4 linked regions of the Kluyveromyces lactis genome follow. The protein of the gene in region 4 purifies or fractionates together with the protein of the main gene of each other region. This does not show direct contact. Links are inferred from orthologs where the notes say so. Each region holds a gene or a part of one and is shown on either strand. Other genes may lie near its edges.

What was found. Proteins that work in one complex are often made in the same cells at the same time.
Region 1: the proteins of PUF6 (region 4) and NUG1 purify together in Saccharomyces cerevisiae (affinity purification with mass spectrometry; 5 studies listed by BioGRID, with this or other methods). This does not show direct contact. The link is inferred for Kluyveromyces lactis from reciprocal best matches to the Saccharomyces cerevisiae genes PUF6 and NUG1.
Region 2: the proteins of PUF6 (region 4) and NOC2 purify together in Saccharomyces cerevisiae (affinity purification with mass spectrometry; 3 studies listed by BioGRID, with this or other methods). This does not show direct contact. The link is inferred for Kluyveromyces lactis from reciprocal best matches to the Saccharomyces cerevisiae genes PUF6 and NOC2.
Region 3: the proteins of PUF6 (region 4) and YTM1 purify together in Saccharomyces cerevisiae (affinity purification with mass spectrometry; 5 studies listed by BioGRID, with this or other methods). This does not show direct contact. The link is inferred for Kluyveromyces lactis from reciprocal best matches to the Saccharomyces cerevisiae genes PUF6 and YTM1.

What each region holds. Positions count from the first base shown.
Region 1 is NC_006040.1:1,171,934-1,177,775, forward strand, and holds NUG1 (RNA-binding GTPase NUG1), read right to left. Parts: upstream 3,737-5,842; coding exon 2,144-3,736; downstream 1-2,143. Other genes in the region: TMA20 (translation machinery-associated protein 20), read left to right, coding at 1-137; PAC2 (Pac2p), read right to left, coding at 290-1,768; SUA7 (transcription factor TFIIB), read left to right, coding at 4,668-5,741. UniProt on the Saccharomyces cerevisiae protein: GTPase required for 60S ribosomal subunit export to the cytoplasm.
Region 2 is NC_006042.1:100,622-107,030, reverse strand, and holds NOC2 (mRNA-binding ribosome synthesis protein NOC2), read left to right. Parts: upstream 1-2,127; coding exon 2,128-4,266; downstream 4,267-6,409. Other genes in the region: GEP3 (Gep3p), read right to left, coding at 48-1,862; MEI5 (Mei5p), read left to right, coding at 4,532-5,188; DNA-directed RNA polymerase III core subunit RET1, read right to left, coding at 5,272-6,409. UniProt on the Saccharomyces cerevisiae protein: Involved in the intranuclear transport of ribosomal precursors.
Region 3 is NC_006039.1:645,530-650,881, forward strand, and holds YTM1 (Ytm1p), read right to left. Parts: upstream 3,479-5,352; coding exon 2,144-3,478; downstream 1-2,143. Other genes in the region: KLLA0_C07403g (uncharacterized protein), read left to right, coding at 740-2,026; FSF1 (Fsf1p), read left to right, coding at 4,589-5,352. UniProt on the Saccharomyces cerevisiae protein: Component of the NOP7 complex, which is required for maturation of the 25S and 5.8S ribosomal RNAs and formation of the 60S ribosome.
Region 4 is NC_006039.1:1,046,304-1,053,508, reverse strand, and holds PUF6 (pumilio-family RNA binding domain-containing protein), read right to left. Parts: upstream 4,397-7,205; coding exon 2,408-4,396; downstream 1-2,407. Other genes in the region: CORVET complex subunit VPS3, read right to left, coding at 1-2,197; myo-inositol transporter ITR1, read right to left, coding at 4,952-6,661. UniProt on the Saccharomyces cerevisiae protein: RNA-binding protein involved in post-transcriptional regulation. Component of the ASH1 mRNP which transports the ASH1 mRNA to the distal tip of the bud, where the ASH1 protein is translated and targeted to the daughter cell nucleus.

The sequences.
Region 1 (5,842 bases), on a different chromosome or scaffold from region 4:
CAGAGAATAAAGAAACCGCTATGGCAGTAGGGAAATTGTTGATGAGTACTGAGGAAATTAAGGAAATTAACAAGGGCCATGGTGTGGAAATGATTCATCATTTGGGTGATCCTCTTTGGACATTCTCTGCTGATTGAAGCGCATTTGTTATCACATTTACGCTCACTTGGCATTTCCCGTTTACTGTTAACGTAGTCATCAGCATTATTCAAAGTACATAATCGATATAGTCATCTTTTTTATACCATTTTTCTTTCATTGGTTCTAATGTACTTAATTGATAAAGGTCTTATTTGGACTTGATGTATATAGTACTCTCTTCTATATTATAGGTTGCTAGGGGAGAGAATTCATTGGTGAAATCGTGTTTGATGTTGTCCATGACAGAGTATTGCAGGGAAATTTCGCCTTGTAGATTAAATTTATATCGCAGAAAGGTCTTCAAATAACGCACACTGAAGCTTTTCAATAGTTTCAACTTGATAGGTTCAGAATCATAAACTATTGGAATTTCAATCAGTTCTTTTGAAAGGAAATTCGTTTGTTGGACGGTGGTTCTACTTTCTGTGTTTATGCTGTGCTTCAGTGTCAAATGATTCCACATAGCACTTTGCGTATCATAATTTATCTGAGACGATAAAACCAGCGATATGAAATAGAGTTCTGCCTCATTTCTTATATCCTCACTTATCCTAGTTCCATCCACACATTTTAAAGACTTCAATCTTGCGATGATACTATAGAAACCTTTTTGCGTATCTTCAAAACATACCGGGTTCTTCTTAATCCAAAGCGTCTCTAATTTAGGGAAAACCGTATTTATACTGTCTATTTCCTCCCAACTTGTGATCCTATTTCTATCAATCCTAAGAGTCATGATATGACTGTTGGTGTTGAGATCGTTAAGGTCTGATATTTTGTTTTCTGAAATGTCAATGCTAGTTAAGGATGATTCTTTTGAAAGAACTTTTGGGAAGCCAATGAAAAGGTTATCAGATATGTTGATTTCCTGTAATGAGGTTAAAACATCTGGAAGTTTTGATAGCAAGTTTGAAGAAATGTCTAGCGCCTTTATTTGAGGGAAAGCCTCTATTATTGTCTCTATATCTCCATTTCGGAGCTTACAACATGCCATTGATAGTTCTTTGACATTGGAAAATTCAAACTGTTCACTGGAATCCGCTTCTAACTTCGTGAAACAGTTCCCACTCAATATAACAGTCTCGACAGATGGAAATAGTCGCAGTATGCGGTACACCTCATTTATGTCAGAAAACAGATTGAAGGATAAATCAAGGTATCGCAGAGAAGAATGAGCACTATTAAACGGAATGCTCGAACAGGTTGTCTTGAAAGCTCGGAAAATGTTGTTTTCTGATAGCGTGATACTTTCCAACTTGTCAAAATCAGAGTTCATTTCATTCAAATGCTCAAATCCATATGACTCAGTCTCTTTCGACCCAAATTTGTAGGTAATATCGATTGATGAAGTATCACCGTATTTCATCAATAATGCACCTTCAAACGATGTTCTCTCTTGCCGAGATGTATCTAGTTTAGTCTCCTTCACAAATGAGCCACTGCTCTGTCCATCGGATGTTCTGAAGTATCGTACTCCGTTTAACGTTCCATCATGTTTACCTCTTTGCTTGTTGTCCCACTCTAAACCATATGCAACGATATTAGGCCATTCTGGCAATGATCCGATGTATCGTACTGTGCAAAACTCACCTCCTATATTCAATCTATCATTGACATTGATCTGCATATTTGGCCCTAGATTTAGTCACGCTGTACACATAGTGTAGCCTGGAGTTCGTATGGTAGACTCACGGATTATTTCTCTTCTTCACTCTTTTAAACATTTTGATTTTAGTAGGCATTTAAAGTATTATTTAAAGGTTTGTTACCTAAAGAAAAGAGATGACAAAAACGTCTTGCCGAAGAAGATATTAAATCATTTATATGTAGTAGTGTACAAATGTGTATTGTCTATTAGGTGCGTGGACTGAAACGGGTGTTCAAATTCACATCCTAATACATAAGCTTTTAAATCTATAGCTTTAACGATGCGAAATAAAATAAGCAATAGGATCCTTGATCGTATTTCATAGAGATGCAGAATAATTCGTTTTCTGTGTTCTCAATTACCTAAGTTGTCTTGTTCAGCTTCAATGGCGTTATCCAATGACGCGAAAAGACCATCCAAATCGAATTCCTTGGACCATTCTTGAACAATGGTCGTTTGTTCCACCTTAGCTGGTGCTGCGACAGCACCAGTACCTAGAGTTGGTTGGTTAGCTTCACCAGATGTAGCAGCATGTTCTGCAGCAGATTCCTTAGAAGCATTGGGTAGAACCCATCCTAGGATCTTACCATCTCTCCAATCGTTAAGAACGGATATACCAGCGCTGGCCAAGTTTGGAACACCGCCCTTACCTAATCTACCTCTCTTACGGGCGATATGGATCAAGAATTGTTTGGTGAAAGAGTCTGCATCGGCAGCTGGGATAGGTGGTAATTCGTACAACTTCTTGAAACTTTCAGTCATTTCTTCAGATTTAGAAAGTCTCTTCACTAATTTGAGCACAGCTGGGTAAGGATCTATGATGAATTTTGGAGGTAGAGCGTTCAACAAGGCCAACTCTGCTTCTTGTTCCACTCTACTCATCTTTTTATTTTCACTTGGGAAACAAATACCTGGAGAATCCAAGATCTTTAGCTTGTTATCTACCTTGACTTCTCTCATAGATGTAGTGACACCAGCTTGGTTACCCACTGGACATGCTTTAGAAGAACCACCACGGCGAGAGGTCAATGCGTTAATGACAGACGACTTACCGACGTTTGGATAACCGATGACACCAACAACGATGGATCTCTTCAAGTTTGAATTATTGGAGTAAGTCTTCAAAGCTTCTAACAAGCTTGAAGCAGTTGTAGCCTGAGTCAAAGTCCTGTTGAAAGATGTGGAGTTAGTGGCACCAGGAGCAGCTCTCAATGGAATAGTAGGGAACGAGGATTTCAAAAAGGTTAACCATTGTTGCAACACGTATGGTGGCACTAAATCGATCTTGTTCAAGATCAAAATTAGTCTCTTACCCTGGGATTGAAGCACGGCCTGTTCCACTCTTCTCGATCTAGTTCCTTCTGGATCTCTTGCATCTAGCACGTAAAGGATAACATCGGACGCATCCACCACAGTCTTGAATATCTTATCGTAAGCCTTTCTAGACTTTTCTAATTCAGAATCATCATCATCTGCGTCAGCGTAAAAGTCTACGTCGTATTCAGCAACCTCTAAATCCTCTTGCTCTCCATTCATTGTATCATCGATACCTTCCCCATTGTACTCCTTTGCAGCTTGCTGAGCGGATTCTAACAAAGCAGAAAGACCATTGTTGCCGTCGTTTTCATCTTCATCCATAGATTCATCGTCATCACCAACATCTTCACCTAGTTCACGAGTTCTTCTCTTAGCCTCTAACCTTTCCTGCTTTCTACGTTCTTTCTCCTCCAAATCAGTTCTTCTCTTCGCTTCAATCTCTTCGATGATCCTGTTCTTGTACGGGAAATTGGCCGGAATACCTGGATCCTTACTCTTATTGGATTTCCATGTCACATCCTTCTTAGCAAGTTTCCGCTCTTTCCTATGTTGAGCAGCAGCCTTCTTCTTGATACCCTCCTTCATACGAGTGGAAGTTCTCTTGGAAGTTCTCTTTCTTACTCTCACCATCTCTTTTGATTAATGGAAAAAGGTATATTTACTGCACTGGATTATAGATATCTTAGCTGTTCCGGTGAACTTATCACGGAAAACAGTACTGAAACATCTACTTGAACAGGTGTTCTGTAAATATCAAGTCTCATCTCATCTCATCTCATCTCATCGCAGGTTTTAACATATTTCGAAGAGCTGAAAAATTTCAAAGTAGAAAAGAATTTCTTTTTGCTGGCGGACGACAGTGGAAACACAGTGGATACTCGTCAATTACGAGGCAATCTTATGCTACTCGCAAGCCATAATTTGTGTCAATAATATTTGGGACGTATTTGGTATATCTATGAGCACTTCCAGGCAGATATTTAACATTATATATACAGTAATACCGTCAAGGGCAGTGAAACTGTCAGTACATATAAAGGCAGCCCAGTAGCCGTTGCGCAGTTTTTTTTGACACTAGCAGGGAACAAAAATCATCTCAGTAATAAGAACTGATATAACGTGATATACGATACGAAGTTGCGAGGGTGGAACTTGTTTTACCACATCTCTCATCCTCTCTACTTCCAGTCAGTGTAGTAATAACTGCGAAGTTATTACTTGTTACCCGGATCTCGTGAAAATTTTCATCAACCGTAAACAAGAGACATGCCACGGTTGTTTCTGTGGCGTTTATCACGTGATATATATTTCCGTCGAGTTTCCAGCATTTTTGCTTAGAAATTGAGAAACTAAAATGATAAGGAGCTATCCAGTTGCAACTTACACAGTCTTGTCCGTCTACTAGTTGGTTAATCGGTATTTCTTCTGTTCTTTTATAACAAAAGCAGCGCCTAAGTTTAGTTATCTTAGCGGCTCATCATTCGACTTCTTACCGTTCAGTTTCCAGCTATTTTTTTAGGCTGTTCTGAGTCATATACCGAGGCAAGAGAAAAGAGAAACTATGTCATTGCCAGCAGCAGCTTCAGCAAATGTAGCTGTCTCATCTAGAAGGAGGGGGCCAAATTTGAACATTGTTATATCGTGTCCCGAATGTAAAGTTTATCCTCCGAAAGTTGTGGAACGGTTTAGTGAAGGTGATATCGTCTGTGCATTATGTGGGTTAGTCTTATCGGATAGAATTGTGGATACCAGGTCAGAATGGCGTACTTTTAGCAATGACGATCAGAATGGAGACGATCCAAGTCGTGTTGGTGAAGCTTCAAATCCTTTGTTGGATGGAAACCATTTAACCACACGTATCGGGCAGGCCCAGGGAAGTGATGCTAGAGTTACTAGGGATTTGAATAGGGCTCAGTCGAAATCTATCGTTGACAAGAAGGATAACGAGTTGCAAGCTGCATATGCGAAGATTACTATGATGTGTGATGCTGCAGAACTGCCCAAGATTGTTAAAGATTGTGCTAAAGAAGCTTATAAATTATGCTTCGAAGAGAGAGTCTTGAAGGGGAAATCACAGGAAAGTATCATGGCTTCAGTTATTCTTGTCGGATGTCGGAGAGCAGAGGTCGGGAGATCTTTCAAGGAAATCTTATCCTTGACTAACGTGCGGAAGAAGGAAATCGGGAAGACGTTTACCATCATCAAGAACATTCTAAGAGAAAAGAATGATAGAGGGTTTGCCAATATTGATACTTCAAATATCACCACAGGACAGACAAGTGCAGAGACTTTCATCCCTAGATTTTGTTCTCATTTGGGCCTTTCAGTGCAGGTGGCTAATGCTGCAGAGTACATCGCGAAACACTCTAAGGATGTCAATGTCTTGGCTGGTAGATCTCCTATCACCATCGCAGCAGCAGCTATCTATATGGCAACTCTACTATTCAAATTGAATATCAGTCCTACAAGAATCTCTCAGACTTTACAAGTCACAGAAGGTACCGTGAAAGGTGGATACAAAGCATTATACGAACACAAAGAAAAAGTGGTCGACCCACAACTGATAGAATCTGGTGTCGTGAAATGGGACAACCTTCCTAGAGTCAGTAATGACAAAAGTGAGAAGGCTAATTGATTATTAACAATACCCATTACAAAAACCCAAAAAAAAAAGAATATTAATACTAACATTAAAAAAAAATCAAGAAAAGAAAACCATTAGTTGGGAAGAATACC
Region 2 (6,409 bases), on a different chromosome or scaffold from region 4:
TTTACAGGGCTATTTCCATATTGCTGCATATAGTTTTGTGTATCCAATCACCACTTGTAATACCAGTACAAGTTTGATGGTGGGCTTTGAAGAGTTCCAACTATATCGTTGGGATCTTTTTGAAGAAGTCTTCTTGAGAGAATATCTTTTGAAGTCCTATTGATGTACATTTCTCTCATTCTGGCAAATGTATCTTCTTCGGTATGGTTCATAATATAGGTGTCTGAAATTAGTGGACGATCGGTTGGACAAACATCGGCGATGTCTCCACTTTCAATATACTTTTCATAGCTTTTTGATATCAATTTTGATAACGGTTCTCTAATGCATACCCTGATACCTTTAGGGACCCAGAGTTCATAAAGACCATTGAAACCATATTTTCCAGTAGGTTTAACTTGAAAATATCCGATATCTTTTAGAACAATTTCGATTGCTCCATTAAATGGAGGAATTACGTGCCTATCAAACATCTTAATGTCAGTAAATGGTTTCTTGAGAGCAAAAAATTGGCGAAGTGAATGATTTTCTGACTGTAGCACCTCTAGAGATAAGCTAACAGCCTTTTCGACATTTGAAAACTCATGCTCCGGAAGAGGAATGTAATTAACCACCTGATTTATAGTGGAATTTGGTGGAACAAGATGAAAAATTCCTCCAAAAGACAGGCATTTACCAGTTTTTGAACCCGTCAAAGAGGTGTAATTTTGTTTTATCAGTTTATCAATCTTAAACTTTGAGGTTTTCCTTATGTTATCAAGCGTTTCCTTCTCGATATAATTCGCTAGATCGGATACTTTAGTAGGATCCATTGTATACCCTGGTAAATCGTTCACAACTTTATCTTCTATCAAATAAGTTTGCATGGTTCTGGTAAAGTTGGGAATATGTGATACTCCACCTTCATTGAAGATGGCCCTACGGCGAGTACTTTGTATTTGTTCGTGGCCTTTTGGAGGACCAATAACGTTGCCTCTCTTATCAAGTTGAGCTTGGAAACTTGTTGATTTTTCATGGAGCAAAGAATTAATGAGAGACGTTTTCCCAACGTTAGGATTACCCAATAAATAGCATCTTTTAGCCAAAGCATTTATCACTGATGGAATATTCCAATTTCTTGGGTTAGAGAACAATACTACTTTCTTAACATGTACGCCTATATGACGTCTACAAAATTCCGCAAAAAAAGCACTCCCTTTATGTGGTAGCATTGATGACTTGTATGTGATCTGATCAGCCTTTGAAAGTAGTAAATAGTTTCTATTATTCTTTTCTGCCAGGATAGTTTTGTCTAATGACAAGGGAAAGTCAGACAAAGACACAACGTGGTATACGTTTGCAGCATGCGGCAAAGCGCCCTTTATATCGTTGAAAGAATGAATTGGAAAATCAGATGAGTTGTACCTGTTATGACTTATAGCATCGACACATCTTTTACAAACCAATCTTTTGGGAATAGGTTCTTTATAATCTGGATCGGTGTCTGGATCAAGTAGCCCGATTTCATGTTTTTTTAGCTGAAGTTCTTGTGTGAACATTAAATACTTCAAATCTTCAATGGTGCCAGCATCTTTCCTGACAGCGCGAGGAGGCTTATAGTAGCCTGTCACAGAAGGATTCTTGGATTGCAACTCAACACCACAGCTTTTGCATGATACAAACCGAGTAAACTGCTTAAAAGCTTGGAGCCGTGATTTCATAAAAGGTAATACTACTACTATTTTCTGATGCATATACCTCAGTACTCTTATCAATAACGGCTCAAAACTGTTGCATCTCTCGACATTCTGTTTGCAGTTTGTTGCATCTTTTGTCGATACCTTTCCAAGCATGTCAATTACCATATTACTTGCACTATTCATCGATGTCAAGGCGATGCCATTACCCGGATACAAAAAGAAACGCCATGAAAAGTTTTCCAAATATCCAAACCAAAATTCAATCCGATGAGATGAGATGAGATGAGATGAGATGAGATGCCCCAAGAAGAGATATAGAGAAACTTTAACGCAGCTCTAACAACTTAACCAGTAGTCGCTCTAGATAATCTTCTTGAAATCATATTGTTGATCAAAGGCATAATCTTGGGACCTGTTACCTATTGATAAAGGGATCAAGAATTACACAATGGGTAAAGTTTCAAAAGCTACTAAAAAGTTTCAGACGAAACACTTGAAGCATACGTTGGACCATAGAAAGAAGTTAAAAGATCATTCTAAGAGAACCGCCGGTCGTAGGGGTAATAAGACAGAAGAAGAAAAGAATGCAGCTGCGTTGACCAAAGAAGATCAAAAGTTGAAGAAGTCCGCTAAGGAAGAAGTCTTCAACGACATGAAGGTTGAAGAGTTCTTCGACAATGGGTTCGATATTCCAAAAATGTCAAAGAAAATGGCTAAAGAAACCGAAAAAGCATCAAAGGTGAAAGATAATGATTCAGAGTCTTCTGCCGAAGAAGATGAAGATGTTAAAATGGATATGGAAGATTTGGCAAAGAAGGATCCTGATTTCTACAAATATTTGGCAGAGAACGAACCAGATCTTTTGTCTTTCAAATCTACCAATCCTCTAGATGAAATATCAGATGACGAAGAAGGGCAAGTGGGTGAAGAAGAAGAACTGAAAGAACCTGATTTATCAAAGTCCAAGAAGGAGGAAAAAGATAGCAAAATTGCCGTCGACATAAAGCTCGTAAATAAATGGAAGAAGGATTTAAAAAATAGCCCATCTTTCAAAACTATCAGAAGTGTGGTTTCAGCTTTTAAAGCTGCTGTGAACATGAACAACGAGGAAAATGTAGACGATTACAAGTTCACAGTTCTTGATGAAAAAGCCTTCCACGAGTTAATGTTCGTTGCCCTTGTGGATATGCCAAAAGCCGTCCAAAAATTGACACCTTATAGGGTCAGTAAGAATGAAACCAGAACTCTCCCATCAAATAAAAATGTTACAAAATTGTCCTCTGTTTTGAAATCGCACGTTCCATCTCTTATCGTTCTCCTAAGTGACATCACAAACACAGACGTCGCTTCAATGATTTTGCATTCTACCTATGAGCTATTACCATACTTTATTTCATTTAGAAGATTACTAAAAGAATTAATTTCTCAAGTCGTCGAAGTTTGGTCCACTACTGGAGACGTTGAAACTCAAATTGCCACATTCGCGTTTTTGAACAATGCCTCTCGTGAATATAAGAAAGCTTTATTAGAAGTTGTATTGAAGTCCACGTATTCTACTTTCATTAAAAGTTGTCGTAAAACTAACATCAGAAACATGCCTCTAATCAATTTCCAAAAGAACTCTGCTGCTGAACTTTTCGGTATTGATGACGTTATAAGTTATCAATCGGGTTTCGAATATATCAGACAACTAGCCATTCACTTGAGAAACAGTATCAATGCCACAACTAAGAGGTCCTCAAAGGTGGACCCATCAAGTGCTTACAAGATTGTATATAACTGGCAGTTCTGTCACTCTTTGGACTTCTGGTCTCGTGTTATATCCATCCAATGTAACCCAGAAAAGGAAAACGGCCACGAATCCCCTCTTAGACAATTGATTTACCCACTAGTCCAAGTTACCATTGGTGTCATTAGATTGATTCCAACAGCACAATTTTTCCCATTGAGATTTTATTTGATCAGATCCTTGATCAGATTATCTCAAAACACTGGTATCTTCATTCCAGTTTACCCATTATTATCTGAGATTCTCTCCTCTACTGCATTCACAAAGAAACCTAGAAAGTCAACGTTACCTGCATTTGACTTTGATCATAACATCAAGTGTACACAAGCATACTTGGGGACAAAAATATACCAAGACGGGCTAGCTGAGCAATTTGTAGATTTGCTAGGTGAGTACTTTGTTCTATACTCCAGAAGCGTTTCATTCCCAGAATTAACAACGCTTGCCGTTATCTCATTACGTCGTTATATCAAGAATTCTGAGAATGTAAAGTTTAACAAGATGTTGCAAAACGTGGTAGATAAAATCAACCAAAACGCTCAATTCATTACAAAGAAGAGATCAGATGTAGACTTCGGACCAAACAACAGAACAGAAGTAGAAAAATTCTTAAATGAAATATCGTGGAAAGATACTCCTCTTGGTTCCTGGGTTGCTATCCAAAATGAGGTTAAGGAAGAAAAGGCCAGACTCTTAAGAGAATCCTTGGAATCTGACGATGATGAAGAAGAAGAAAATATTTCTGACGGAGCCCAAGACATAGTAATGGATGATGCTGAATCTGAAGCAGATGAATAATCAAATGATTGTATGATAAGTTCAAACTTTCTTCAATTTTAAATTCATTGGTAATCCTATGTCTTCGACCATCTTATATTGGATTGCCTCCTTGTCAAAGACATCGGCGGTAAATTTCATGAAAATAGAAATTACATTATGTAAATTATTTTAAACATGTATACTCAACATTACATTCAGAATACAAAGCTCGGGAGTACAATCTGCGGTAGGCATAACTTGACCAAGTGGAATAATTCTTATACCAGTACTCATTACAGGCGTTATGTCGAATGTCATGAATTTTGAAGGTGATAGTGAAACAACCTTAGTTCAAGAGAATGATTCATTTAGTGATATCTTGCCCAAGTTATCTTGCAGAAACCCTGAAGAAAGATCTACGGGTAGTGTGTTACTTTTAAAGGAGATCCGGAGGTTAGAGAACGATCTTGATCGACAAATACGAGATCTTACGAAGAAAGAGTTTGCTTTGAAAAGGGCAGTGAAAATAATGCAAACTTACGACAACGAACTCAAGACTATCGAATTAATAAATAAATGGAGGTCTATATGTCAATGTGGGATGTCTTACATGTTGAATACCATATTGGTTAAAATTGATCGAATGGGCGGTTATCAAGAGTATAAGCGGAAAGAAATAGAGGCAAGAAAGCGCCAAGTTGAGTATCAATACGATGACGGCATTCAACAACAAATGGAAGAGATCTTGGAATCTCCGGACTTCTTTCATTTGCCAATTGAAGAAAAGGAAGAAATCAGGGAACGGATGGATGAGAAAGTGAGAGAAGCAGAAGAAATGAAACAGAACGAACTCCAGAAATTTGAGAATGAACTAAGGAAAGAAGATAATGATGAAATGACTTTGCAGGAGCTAGCGGCTAAACTAAAAGTTGACTATGATATGGTATATACTAATCAATAATGAAAATTCAAGTGAAAATGATGCTTTATAAGTAATACTGAATAAATAATGTTACTACTAGAATCGTCAGAAAATGCTTACAGTCAAGCTTCAAAGACATCGCCTAATTTCAATCTTGGTGCAATGTTCATCGCAAGCAATTCCTGGAATAAAAGTTTGGCTGCATAAGGAATAGTCATTTTGACAACATGTTCAGCGGTTTTACAGCTTGTACACCATCCACTATAACCCATCAAACCACATTTTTCACAAACATCGACTTCAAAGGCATCAGAACTTAACATTAATCTTTCCAACAATAGTTGTGAAGCACCGTATGCGATAACACAGTCACGTTCCATTTCACCCAATCTTAGACCACCATCTCTAGATCTACCTTCTGTTGGTTGACGCGTTAACACTGCCCTTGGACCTCTGGCTCTTGCGTGCATTTTGTCAAGAACCATATGCTTCAACTTTTGATAGTAGATTGGACCAAAGAAAATGTAAGCTTGTAAACATTCACCAGTAATACCAGAATAAAGCATGTCCTTACCGGAATAGTTGAAACCATTATCGACTAAAATCTTTGACATGTCTTCTAACTTAGATCCACCGAAACAGGTACCGTATTCAAGGGTACCATTCAAGACACCAGCTTTACCTGATATCAACTCAATCATTTTTCCAACGGTCATACGAGATGGGAAACCATGTGGGTTCATGATAATATCTGGTACTACACCTTGATCGTTGAAAGGAAGATCTTCTTGTTTTACGATGATACCACAGACACCCTTTTGACCATGTCTCGATGAGAATTTATCACCCAATTCAGGTCTTCTGTTTTGTCTCAATAGAACTTTGATCAAAGCCTGGTCATTATCAGAAACTGACATCATAACTTGATCAATATGAGAAGGTTCTGGAGCTCTATATACCACTGGAGTCTCCTTGTACTGAGCTTGTGTTTGAGTTAGAATGCTATCCGACGCATTAGTTGGAACAGATTTATTGACATAAATTTGTCCACTTTCAACCTTCATTCCAACTTCACCTAGCCCATCAGGGCCTAATGCTTGGTGTTGCCATATAGGCTCACCATTTTCATCAACTCTCATACCACCAATAATATCCTGAGTATGATTTGGATATCTCTTCAACACGGTGGTGTTCTTACGACGAGTTTCACAACGTCCAAAACCTCTGTCAATGGACGCTTTATTTAAAACTAACGCATCC
Region 3 (5,352 bases), about 400 kb from region 4:
CTTAATTGTTTGTTGCATATCCTGTTGTAAACGTGATATCACAGCTTTCAAAAGAAATACAACGATGATGTCAGTACAACATACTATGGTATAAATCAATGTCAAAATTCCGGTATTCGGGAAGTCGGCAGGTCTATGTACACGTATATTGCGGTTCCTTCAGAATGTTTACCTTAACTTTGTAAGTGAAGTGAATGGAATCTGAAGTTTCTGATATTTCTTCTTGATTCATTTCAATCCTTCGAATGGTATTCATTAAGTCACGATACTATAATAACCTCTTTGGAGCCGTTGTTGTCAAATTATATAACTAGAAAGTGCGGTAAACAACAGCTTTCAGAATATATCATTTCGTTTCAATGGCTTTCTCAAAGCTATATTTACCTTGACTCTTATTTTTCTGGTATTTTCGTTGTCCCTGTTGACAAAGTTATGTATAATTCTACTTAACACTTCTAAATAGTCGCATCTGCACCTTTCTAAGGGCCTCTCACTTGGACTTCATCTGATAAATAGTTTGACAACTCAAAATGGCCTTTGTCTATTAATCCCTTCTCACTGACAAACCTTTTTGACCATTGCATCACTTTGAAAGTCAAATGCGTTCATAACAAATTTAGTGTATTTCTAGTTTTTACCAATTAATGAGGTGCAACCGAACAAAAAGACAAAGCTATGAAGATAAACCCCAGCGTAGATAACTTTAAAGAGAGTTGCTTTGTGACCATCCTTACGTGTTATGAATTCGGTGTTTAATAGTATTCTGATTATTATTTTATCGTTGGGAATGGCATCTTTTACCAGAAATAAAGCATTTAAGAACTGGCTTGTGTCAAAGTTGGAAAAATCATTAACAACATTACAGTCTTATCCACCGGTCTCTGCTAACTTCAAACTAGTCGATTCGCCTTATTTTACGAAGCAGCAATCACTTAAAGATATTGCTGCATCATTATCACAATTGTGTGAGTACAAGATCAGAGCTCTAAGACAAAACGGGATAGTTTATCAACGAACAAGCAACGTAACTCCCAGTGATATAGAACAGCTTAACCAGATCGGTTATTTCGATAAAATAGTTGCCGTGAACAAATCAATTGATGTAAATTATGACACCTTGAGCAAAATTATAGAATATACTCTAAAGGAAATACTTGTTAACAATGATTTTAACTCAGCAATTGAATCAGTACTGAGAGACGCTGGTTATACATGGGACAAAGAAAATGACACATTGGTTCGCGATTCAATAAATTCCATTCGATTTTCTAAAAAGAGTAACCAAAGCCGTGTGAATGAAGCCATGTGTCACATTGTCAGAGATTGGTGTGATGTTTATGATTTGGAAAGAAAGCCTCTTGTAGATTTCATTGAGGAGTCTTTCGGAAATTGTGACATCGATGAAGACACATTAATTGTTGTACCAGGATCTGGATGTGGAAGGCTAGCTTATGAGGCAGCCAATCGATTTCCAAAAGCAAAGGTTACATCTATTGAATACTCGTCTTTGATGTATTTGTGTAACGAATATGTCCTCGGAACTACGGACAATATCACCGTTGATCCCTTCTATCAAATTTATAGTGGTCAACAAAGTATGGAAGCGCAAACCAGGCACTTTAGGATGGACTTGGATAAGTTCCAAAAGCCAGAGAACTTAACAGTACTTTTCGGTGACTTTTGCTGCTATAAACCAGAGAAAAAATACAAAAATATAATAGTATGTTCTGCATTCTTTATTGACACAGCAGCAAACATGTTTGATTACTTCAATGCTATTGAGATGCTTTCTAACAATTGTACAGGACGTTTACACTGGGTTAATGTTGGACCGTTGAAATACGGAACTAGACCACTAGTACAATTCACATACGATGAGCTAGCAAGACTACGTAAATTACGTGGATGGGAAGATCATTCCAACCAGGTTGATGTTAAAAATTTGAATGGTTACCTAACAGACTACGAATCCTTATTCCAAGGGTTTTATGGTCTAGCCAAATTCCATTCGGAACTAAAAAGATAATTAACATTAGAACCCTGCAAATACTATGTTGTTTCTCAACATTTTTTGTGGTACATTTCTTTTATATTTAAGTGAACTAGTGAGCATAATTCCTGTATATAATATATAAAATTACGATTAGTTACTAAATATATTATCACCTTTATTAATTTGAATTTTTTTGTCTTGACCACCGCTGATGATACCTACGCCTTTAGCCCATTTGACAGCAAACACTTTATCATTGACACCTTTAACAACATTTTTATCTTCTCTGGTGATAGTGTACATTGCAGTGTTAGACCTAACATCCCAAACCTTGACAGTTCCATCGTGAGATGCAGAGCATATCATATATTCATTTTCTGGACAAGTATCCAAAGCGACAACGAAGTTCTTGTGACCTACAAGCTGCTGTTGGGTGATTTTAGATGAAGAATTTACACGAGGATCATGAAGAGTAATGTGTCTGGCACTCGACCCGCATGCTAAGAGATTTAATTTTGGTAGTTGCGCAACAGAAAGAAGTGAGTACGATGTCGTCTTTGTATCGACACATTTTGCCGTTATCAGATCCCATGTTTTTATAGTATGATCTTGTGACACGGAATACCCAACAGTATCATCCGATTTATCGAAAATGACAGCCTCTACTGGAGCACTGTGAGATTCAAAAAGAGCCAAAGGGGCTCTTCTTCTGATAGATCCATCTTTTAGAGTCAACTTTCTCCTCTTCTTGGCTGCAGTAGACACGTTGCCTCCTAAATCCTCCATCGGATCAATGACAGTCATCTCTTTATAATTCGTGGACCACAAGCTCACCGTATTATCGCATGATGCAGATAGAATACGGTCTTTCGAAACATCAATGGACACTACAGGGGCTTTATGACCTTCCAAGATGGCCAATGTCTTACCATCCTCAATTTCTTCTTCATCAATTGATTTCAAATCATCATTCTTCGTTTTCCACAGACGTAGAGTGCGATCATTCCCTGCGGACACCAATCTCGTACTAGAAATGTAATGCACAGCACGAATAGGGCCAGAATGACCACTGTATTGTTTTTCGACTTTCCCTGACAAGTTGTACGTTCTTACGATACCGTCATAGGAACCACTGTAGATGTAATTGCTTCCGACATCCAATGAGCTTACCCAATCTTCGTTATCAAAACTAGACAAATATGAAGGTGGTAGCACTGCTCTAGTATATTCAACATTCAAAAAGGTTTCCGATGATAAACCTTTCTTGATCAAATAGTCCTGCAACGATGTTCTCAAAAGTTCACCATCGATAAGGAAATCAAATGGCATAGATTTAGGTAATTCCAGTAGGTGATTAACAATTTCAGAAAGACCATATCTCTTTAGACTAACTGGAGCATAGATTGGAGCATCATTGACATGTAAAGTCTCATCTTCTTCACGAGTAAAGAAGCGTAGCTTCACCTGAGTCTTATCTGTTGACATATTCCCCTACAGTTTACTTCTCCTTATAACTAAGATATTCTTCCAGTGAATTCTAGTTTGAATTGTCTAATAGATTGTGATCGCACGTTGTTACTGAGGTACGATGGAGCGCGTTAACTCTATTCTTCCTATCTTGTACATTTTCTAAGCGTTGTAAGATGCGATGAGCTTGGAAAATTTTTGGGAAACAAACCACTGCTCGAAAAAGAAATCCGCCAGAAATAAATGCCAGTCACGTGTATATGTTTTAAGGAACCGGGTAGTGGAAATTAGTCAGTACACCAATAGCTAAGTGACAGACTAATGACCGTGTAATACTAAACATTTTCACGAGTAATATATGGTATATACAAGTATAAGTAAATTCAGGAGTGACAAGAGATAGAGAATGTCCCGCTCACGCAGCTACCAATTAAAGCCAATTGATGAAAAATAGTTAAGTACTTTAATCAGTATGAGGTACGCTCGCGGATAGAATTTTCATCTAGCCGTTCTTTTCCCCTCTGTTCATCTACGGTGTATCAGATGGCACAGTGAATAGAAGGCATTAATATGTTTCGTATCACTTTTTTAAGCCAAATAATCAAAAGAACAGTCGACTCGAATTTGATTAACTTAGAGTACTTGCTTTAACCTTGTCTTTTTCTCAAGGTGAAAAGCTTCTCAATTTATACTGGATGTCTGTTCTTTTTTTTTTTCAGGCAGAGAAAATTAGTTGTCCGGGTAAATTATCATATTACCTTTAGACATGTTAAGAATATGATTAGGGCAAAGACAAATATGTTATTGCTAAATTGGAAATCGAAGTGGTTGGAATCATCATCGTTTCACTAGTACAGTTTCTCCGAGAATAAGAGAATTATAATAACCTATTGCTAGATCAATAATTACTGTCTTTTTTCTTATCAGAATTCCAGCAGCTTTGTAACGCCGTACGTATCATTCTGACGCTGCAGAATGAAAAAAAAAAATGCAAGCTCGAGAGAATAATGCATTTATATCTAAAGAGTCATCTCATCTCGAAAGTAATTAAGCAAGAACAAAGTCGTGTTTGTCTCGTAGAAGCTCAGCTCATCCAAAAGACTTCGATACACTTGAGTACAGCTTATCATGGCATCCAGTGTCCCAGGTCCAATTGCCCTACCAGAATCTCGTTATGATCTAAGCACCTATTGGGGACGTGTTCGTCACTGCGCAGAGATTTCTGATCCAACGATGTTGTTAACGAGCAGTGATGATCTTCAACAAGCTCGCAAAATCATCAGTGCATATCGCCATGGAGAGTTGAAAGAAACGACGCCTGAGTTCTGGCATGCAAAGAAACAGCTAGATTCTACTGTTCATCCTGATACTGGTGAAACTGTGTTTCTCCCATTCCGTATGTCCTGTTGTGTGCCCTCAAATCTGATAGTTACTGCTGGTATGTTAACTCCTAATATGGGTACCGCTGGTACCCTGTTCTGGCAATGGGCTAATCAATCATTGAATGTTGCTGTTAATGGGGCCAATGCAAACAAATCTCATCCTATGTCCACCACTCAATTGATTACCAATTATACTATGGCCGTCACTGCATCGTGTGGTGTGGCAGTAGGTTTGAACAAACTAGTTCCAAGGCTGAAACATCTATCAGCAAACACTAAAATGATCTTGGGACGTCTTGTACCCTTCGCAGCTGTTGTATCAGCAGGTATAGTTAATGTATTCTTGATGAGGGGAGGCGAAATCCGTAAAGGAATCTCAGTTTATGACTCCAATGGAGATGAGGTTGGCAAATCAAAAAAAGCAGCCTTCATCGCTGTTGCTGAAACAGCGTTCAGTAGAATATCAAATGCTACACCAATCATGGTTATCCCGCCGTTGATCTTGGTTAA
Region 4 (7,205 bases):
TATCATCAATAATAGAACCTTCTTTTATATTTAAAGCCTTTTCTATTTTCAGAAGCTTGGTCCCTACATCGAAGCAACCCTCATATTCCTTTTTCTCACCCAGCTTATTTTTCAAATACTCTTTGAAAGGAGACTTGTTATATGTCATGTTGGTAATGTACTCCGTAATTGGTAAATTGGAACTTTCTATTAGCTTGCTGTTCAAAACAGTAAGTTTAGCTTTATAGTACTCGTAAAGAAATGTCAAATCTTGGGTGGAACTCGCACCCAGTTTTTCAAGCAAGAGAACCTTTGTATCAGGGTCTTCGATGGATGAGATGAGTCTTTTCACATCTAAGTTTAAATTGTTTATTAATTGTAAAACGTCGCTTACAGTGTCATCGTTATAATCTTTCAAAGCTGATGAAATATCATCAGTCAGCATTTCTTTAGAGTAAGTATCGGGTAGCTCTTGGAAATGAGTATTCAGGTAATTTATGAGCCTTTTTTGATCTGTTTGTCTTAGTATTTCGAGCAATGGGGTCACTTCTTTTGTCTTTTCATATATGGCTATTAAAGTTTCTGAATGTTCTTTTTTATGCTTAGAAAGCTCTTTAGCAATTTCTTGGTAACTAGTCGCCTCGTATTCATCAACATTTGAACTGCCTTTAGCGATGTTATCACGTAATAGAATTAAATCGAGCGATAAATAAACGTTCGCACTATCTTTTAAGCTATCGGAACACGTTTCTTTTAGTTGAAATTTCAAGTATTGTATGATGTTCAGAACGTCATTACACTTGTGAACTAGCTTCAATGAATGCAATTTTTTTGAAAATGCTAATAACCCATTAGGAATCCACAAATCTCCGTAAATGTCGAAACCAAGTAGGTAAATTAATACTCTGATATCTGCAACATCAATATATTTGAGCCAGGCATCGATTAAATCTTTATCAATGTGTTCCATATGTAATGTTAACAGCAAGACATAAAGGAACTGCAAGTAGCTTTTTTGAAGAAGCTGGTAATTGCTTTGTGACTCTTCAGTGATGAAAGACTTCAAAATTGGAAGAGTATCTTCGCCATAGCTCGAAATGGTGAGTAGAAATGGCTTTCGGCATAAAGAATATATACCACATTTTCCGTAGATAATCATGTGGCATTCAACCGCAATTTGTCTGGCCACATATGCTTTTTCTTGTTCTTCTCGAAATTGGAGTTCTTCTGCAATTAAAGGGACATATCTTAGTTTTTCAATTAATTCTTTATTAAACTGTCTCGTTATGAAAGGAGTCTGCAACTTTGTAATATGAAACGGGGTTTGATTTCTAACATTTTGTATAACTACTGGGTCGTTGTTTTCTTTTATTAAATGAATTTGAAGGCATTTAGAACCATGTAATTCTGATAGCACATACAGATTATCAACTATAACTGTGAGTGGATAATTTTCTATAACCACGGTACCGTGAGTGATTTCTCCATCATCGTTTAATATAAGTCCCATACAGTTTTGGTCATTTGATATTCCACATGTGACGATATATTCACTTTTTCCAAAATTTGTCACAATTGGTGAGAGTTCCTCATCATCTGTCTCAGACACTTTGAATAAAGGAGTTACCAGCTCATTTTCAAGATGGATTATCGAGTAAGAGTTATCAACAGCTGCCATAAGGAGTTTTGCGTCTTTTGAAGGAATGGCCTTTCTAATTCTCTTGATGTTATACTTCTGTTCGACTTTTATCTCTTTGCTTGTTATGCTTACTCGCTTTACCAAGTTCTTCGTGTATAAGAAACACGAGTAACATTGTGTTTTCTCACAGAACTCCAAAAGTGAAAGTTCTGTTATATTCATAATACTTGGTATATTTGAAGCAGGTGCAAATTCAGGCAGGAGAAACATTTTGAGTCTCCCTTCGGACAACACTAAGGCTCTATCAATTTTCGGCAGTAGCGTTATGCCATCAATTCCTGTTGGTCTGTCTTCATTGAAGTTGACTTCCGAGATCAGTGTGAAATTTCCAACATCTAATTCATAATAGTGTAGTAACGCTCCTGAAGTCGAGCCCAGGTAGATGTGCTGACCATAATATTCGATACATGAGTACTCATATTCATGAGGCACATTCTCGATTAATGGTGAAACAGCATATAATCCATCGGTTACTTCAAAGGCAGTTGAAATGGGTTTCTCTTTAGTATCGTCATTCATAAGCCATCAATGCCACTGCTGTAATTAGTGAATTGAGGAATAAATGTTCTTAGCTGTATTATCTCTGGTTCGCAGATGATAGTCTCATTTAAGGAAGTGTGAATCTTAATAGTAGACTAGAACGTCCTTCGTCCACAATGATGAGAAGCTATATCATCTTTAATATACATATTTTAGAGCCAAACTATATAACGACTTGACTATACATACTCAATGCTTCATTAGCTTTAGAAGTAGTTGAGCACCCTTGTTTGAATCGTTCGTCTCTATTTTCTTGATCACTTTTTTCAAATCATGATCGAATTGTTCCCCTTCTTCAGTCCCATGTAAGGCTTCATACAATGCCACAATGGTAAAAGAACTGTTGGGTTTGTTGATCCAATCGAGTAGGTTGCTGGAATCAATGATGTCTTCATAAAATTTTTCAGCAAATGGAATACCAAGTCCCTGAACTTTTTCTAGAGGTTCTAGTTTTCTTGCTTTCACGTTGTATCTACCATTTTGAATGAGAGACTTTAGCAACCTTGCCGAAAATGGTTTGTTAATAGGGTGGTCTTCTTCTGAAATGTCACCTTTGAAATAAATGGCGACGGTGTCCACAAGCTCGGCAAACAACTTTTGATCAGACTCTGAAAGTTGTTCATAGACATCATCGTTAACGAGTAAATCTGCGACAAATTGAGAACCGATGTTTTCATCTAGAATGGTTTTGTAGTGTTCGTTTACGCCAGATAAAATCATTGGTGCGAACCTTTTTAATAATTCAAGTCTTCTTTGGTCAAATGGCTTCTTGGAAGTAGTTTCCGACATCTTAATGTATCTTTGTAGTTCATTCTTCATATTTGGACCGAAGTATTTACCATCTAATCCTAAAAGTAGGAATAAGAGCGGCCTCCTACCAAATTTATCAACAATCAATTCTGGAAGATGTTCCTTAATTGGTGGGGAAAATGCCTTGGAGACGAGAACAGTATCATCGACTGTCATTAATAAAGTTATGAAAACAACGGCACCGTGTTCATTTTGAATTAACTTGATTGCATGTTCTTTCAAGGTCTTTATCAACCCCTTTCTTTCTTTGGCATTTGCTTTAGCGATTAAAGTAGATGCAACTTCTGCACCTTCTGGGGTATGCACTAATTCCGCAAAGTTCTCTTCTAAAAGTTCGATGAACTCAGATGTTTCTTTATCGTTGGCGATTTTGACGTATTCCCTCATTGCTGCGTGTAAAATCTGGAAACCTGCCGAACCTTTTTCAACAGAAGCAGTGATGGTACCAATCAAGTTTCTAGCGATAATATTTCTCTTTTCTACGCTGGAAGCACAAACTTCTTCGAGCGTAAGTTCCTTATGAGATTCTCTGAATACGGCGTATTCTGAACCCCAAAATTCTCTGATCATTTGATTTCTTTGTTCTTGAGAGGCATAAAGAACAAACAAATCTTCGACCACATAGGCACCTTCACGGTGTCTCATTAGTTTTCTCAAATTACCATGTAGTTGATCGATTATGATTTGTCTAGATTTTCGGGAACCATAATGTAACAATTTAACCAACAAATATTTACCATATGATGATGTGGCCAAAACATAAATTTTATCTTTCAATGCCAACGTGATCTGTTCTCTGCGCTCTTTGGAAGAATATTTGACTAATGTCTGGACAATTCTGGATGCATCATGCTTCAATACTAAATCTTCAATACAATCATTCGAGAGTTCCCAGATCTCATTACATAGCTTTTCACGGACAGGCTTTGGAATTGGAGGGTTCTTGACACGTAATCTTTCCCATAAAGACTTGATCTGCTGGACTGTTTCACCAGATTTACGCTGAAGTTTTCTCTCCTTTAATGTTTTTCTTTGTTCGGCATGCTGGCTGACACCATTACTTTCTTTTTTGTCTGCATCATTTCCGGTTCCAGCATCTTCTTCATCTTCAGCATCTTCTTGATCCTCATCAGATTCATCCAGTTGATCAGATTCGTTGTCTAGCTCGTCTGAATCTGAATTTGAGCTAGCATCATCTAATTCATCATCTAGCTCATCTTCTGAAGATAAACCGTGGAGGACATCATCAGAATCTTCATCGCCAGAATCAACACTAATGTTTTTAGCTCTTTTTACAATTTTACCAGAATCCTTCGACTCCTTAGATTCCAATTGACGCTTGTTCAACTTTTTCGACGTGGCTGCCATATCTGTAGTGCTGTATTGTCCTACGAGAGAGAATAAGAATGTATATGTTGTTATTTAATGCTACCCATAGTGCAGTTACTACTGTATAAGCTCATCTCATCTCATCGCTTCTTTTTCAAGTTCAGAAAATTTTCATAATATGCTAAAAAGAAAGAACTCAAATAAACATTCGCCAGAATCTCTCTTTTTTTGATGGGGGGAATATACAGTTGGTACAGGATTTGGCTGATTAAACCGAATATGGCAGTTTATTACATGCTTCAAAGATTTAGCTCTATTTCTCGAAAGCTCTCTCTTCCGAGTTAGTTAATTATGAAATGAGTAAATGTCACCCTTTCAAACTAACGAGATTTTTATTGTAAATCACAAACAAGTTGAGTTTTACACATGACAATGATAATATTACAGTAGTAATTGTGGACAACTTTAGCAGCTATAGTTGTTAATTCTAAAAGATTTTATGGTTATCTATATACTCAACTTCATATGAAGTTCATTGAAAAACCAAGACAGTAGCTTCGGGTATGAGAATAAGAGGGAATGACTGCATTTACATTAACTTTCAAGTAGTTCATCGGAGGGTTTATCCTTTTGATAAGCTTCCATGTCCTTTTCTCTAAATCTCCTTTGCATTTCGCTATTTTGTTGCTTTCTCTTCTTGGCTAGTTGTTTGGAAGCTTTGATGTTGAATCCATCACTTAAAATAGTTTGTACTTCCTCCAATTCTAGACCAGATAGTTCTGGATAACAGAGATAACAGAAGACGGTAGATACTGCAGCTAGTGCAGCAAATAATGAAAATGTACCAGTCGGTGTTATGTTTTGTAACATTGTTAGGAAGGTAGATGCAATAATTAGGGAACCAGCCCAGTTAGTAGCTGTACAATAAGAAGTACCTACACCTCTAACGGATGTTGCAAATAATTCAGATTGCTGCCATGGTACAGTACCGATACCTAGAGCATAGAATGCTGCATATACCATGATGAATACGATAACGACTATACCCCAAGAACTGAATCCACCATTGGAAACTTCCGATTCACCAGCGCCAGTGAATTTTATATCTAGGAAATGGAAGGCGATAGCACACATAACCAAGGAAACCATCATACCAGGCAAGCCAATCAAAAGGATTGCTCTACGACCGACCTTATCAATCGCAAAGAAAGCGACTAAAGTGAATACGAAGTTAGTACCGGCAACGATGATAGACACTGCAGTAGAATTTTCGAAACCAACAGTTTGAAAAATAGTACCAGAGAAATACATTAAAGAATTCCAACCACAGAATTGTTGAATACCTTGTAAAGCACAACCGATCACCAATGCCCTGAAATTGCATGGGACAGTATGTAATTCTTTGACAGTGTTGAAGAACTTGTGTACAGGGGTCTTACCTGGGATAGCCTCATTCAAATCTGATAGTTCACGGATTTTTTGATCGATAAGTTCCTGGGGAGCGTTAATGTAACTCTTTTGTAAAACTTCTGCAGCCTTCTTATAGTTACCTTTTATCACGTAGAAACGCGGAGTGTCTGGCAAGAAGCTGAAGCATGTAAATTGCACCACAGTTGGAATCAAAGAAAGTCCGACTAAAATTCTCCAACCGTTATGAACTTTATTCAACCCAGCACCACATGCATAAGCGATCAATTGACCACCTGTTAGCCAAAGTGAGTTTATCACCGTTAGTCTACCTCTGATATGTTTTGGTGCGATTTCAGAAATGAATAATGGCGCTAGTAACGACCCAATACCGACACCGAACCCCATAATTAATCTACCTACTGCCATTTGCCAAAATGAATGTGCACTAACCTGCAACGCAGCACCAATGACAAAAAGAATATTAGAGAACATTAGACAAGGTTTTCTACCAAAAATGTCGGCAGAAATCCCTGCAAACACTGCTGAGATTAAGGCACCCAAAGATGTTGCAGCTGTAATTATTTCCTTATCACCATATGTTAGAGCTTTATTATCCAAGTCCGTACCTATAGAGACCAATGCACTCGATATATAACCAGTATCATAACCAAACATGAAACCAGAGATAGATGCTGTAAAGGTCAAGATCAAGATAAACGGAGAAATCTTTTGGTTGAAAGTAATCATGACTGAAGTGTCATCTTCATCATTGACCGGTTTGATAATGATTCTATCCGTGGTTTCATTTTCAGATGAGTCTTTCAATTTGCTTTGAGAGATATCATCGAAAATGATGGGAGAGACATCACTGGAATGCTCTGAAGTATCGTTCATTTTTGTTATTTTCTCTTTTTGATAGATGGGGAAAACAAAAAGCCTTCTGCTTAACCTTTTGAAACTTATACAGAAGCGAATGTTTAAATGTTTCCAAGGAGTACTGACAGTTGATATGACAGTGTTGTTAAGTGTTTTCAGGAAGAAACACTGCTTATTCTTTTCTTTGGTATCTAATCAACTGAAACAAGATAACGTCCGGAAACTAGAAGCTATTGTAAAATTGAAGATAGATGGAAGGTCTTTTCTCAAATCTTTTAGTCGCGTTTCCTTGTGGAGTGTGTCTTAATGATCGTTCTGTGAAAGAAAGCCAATGCAGAAAGGATAATCAGAACAAAAAGCTAACGGAACTACAACACCAAAAATGCAGCACTTATATAACAAAAATAAGCAAAAAACTTTGACGTAGTTTTGAAAACTCGTAGTAGGAAATCAGCGAAAAGAGAGAATAAAGTTCAATAGAAAACCCTCGAACAGAAACCGAAACAAGCACTCTTTAATTTCAAATTTGTTCTTTTTATTTCTGTAATAAAAAACAACCTAT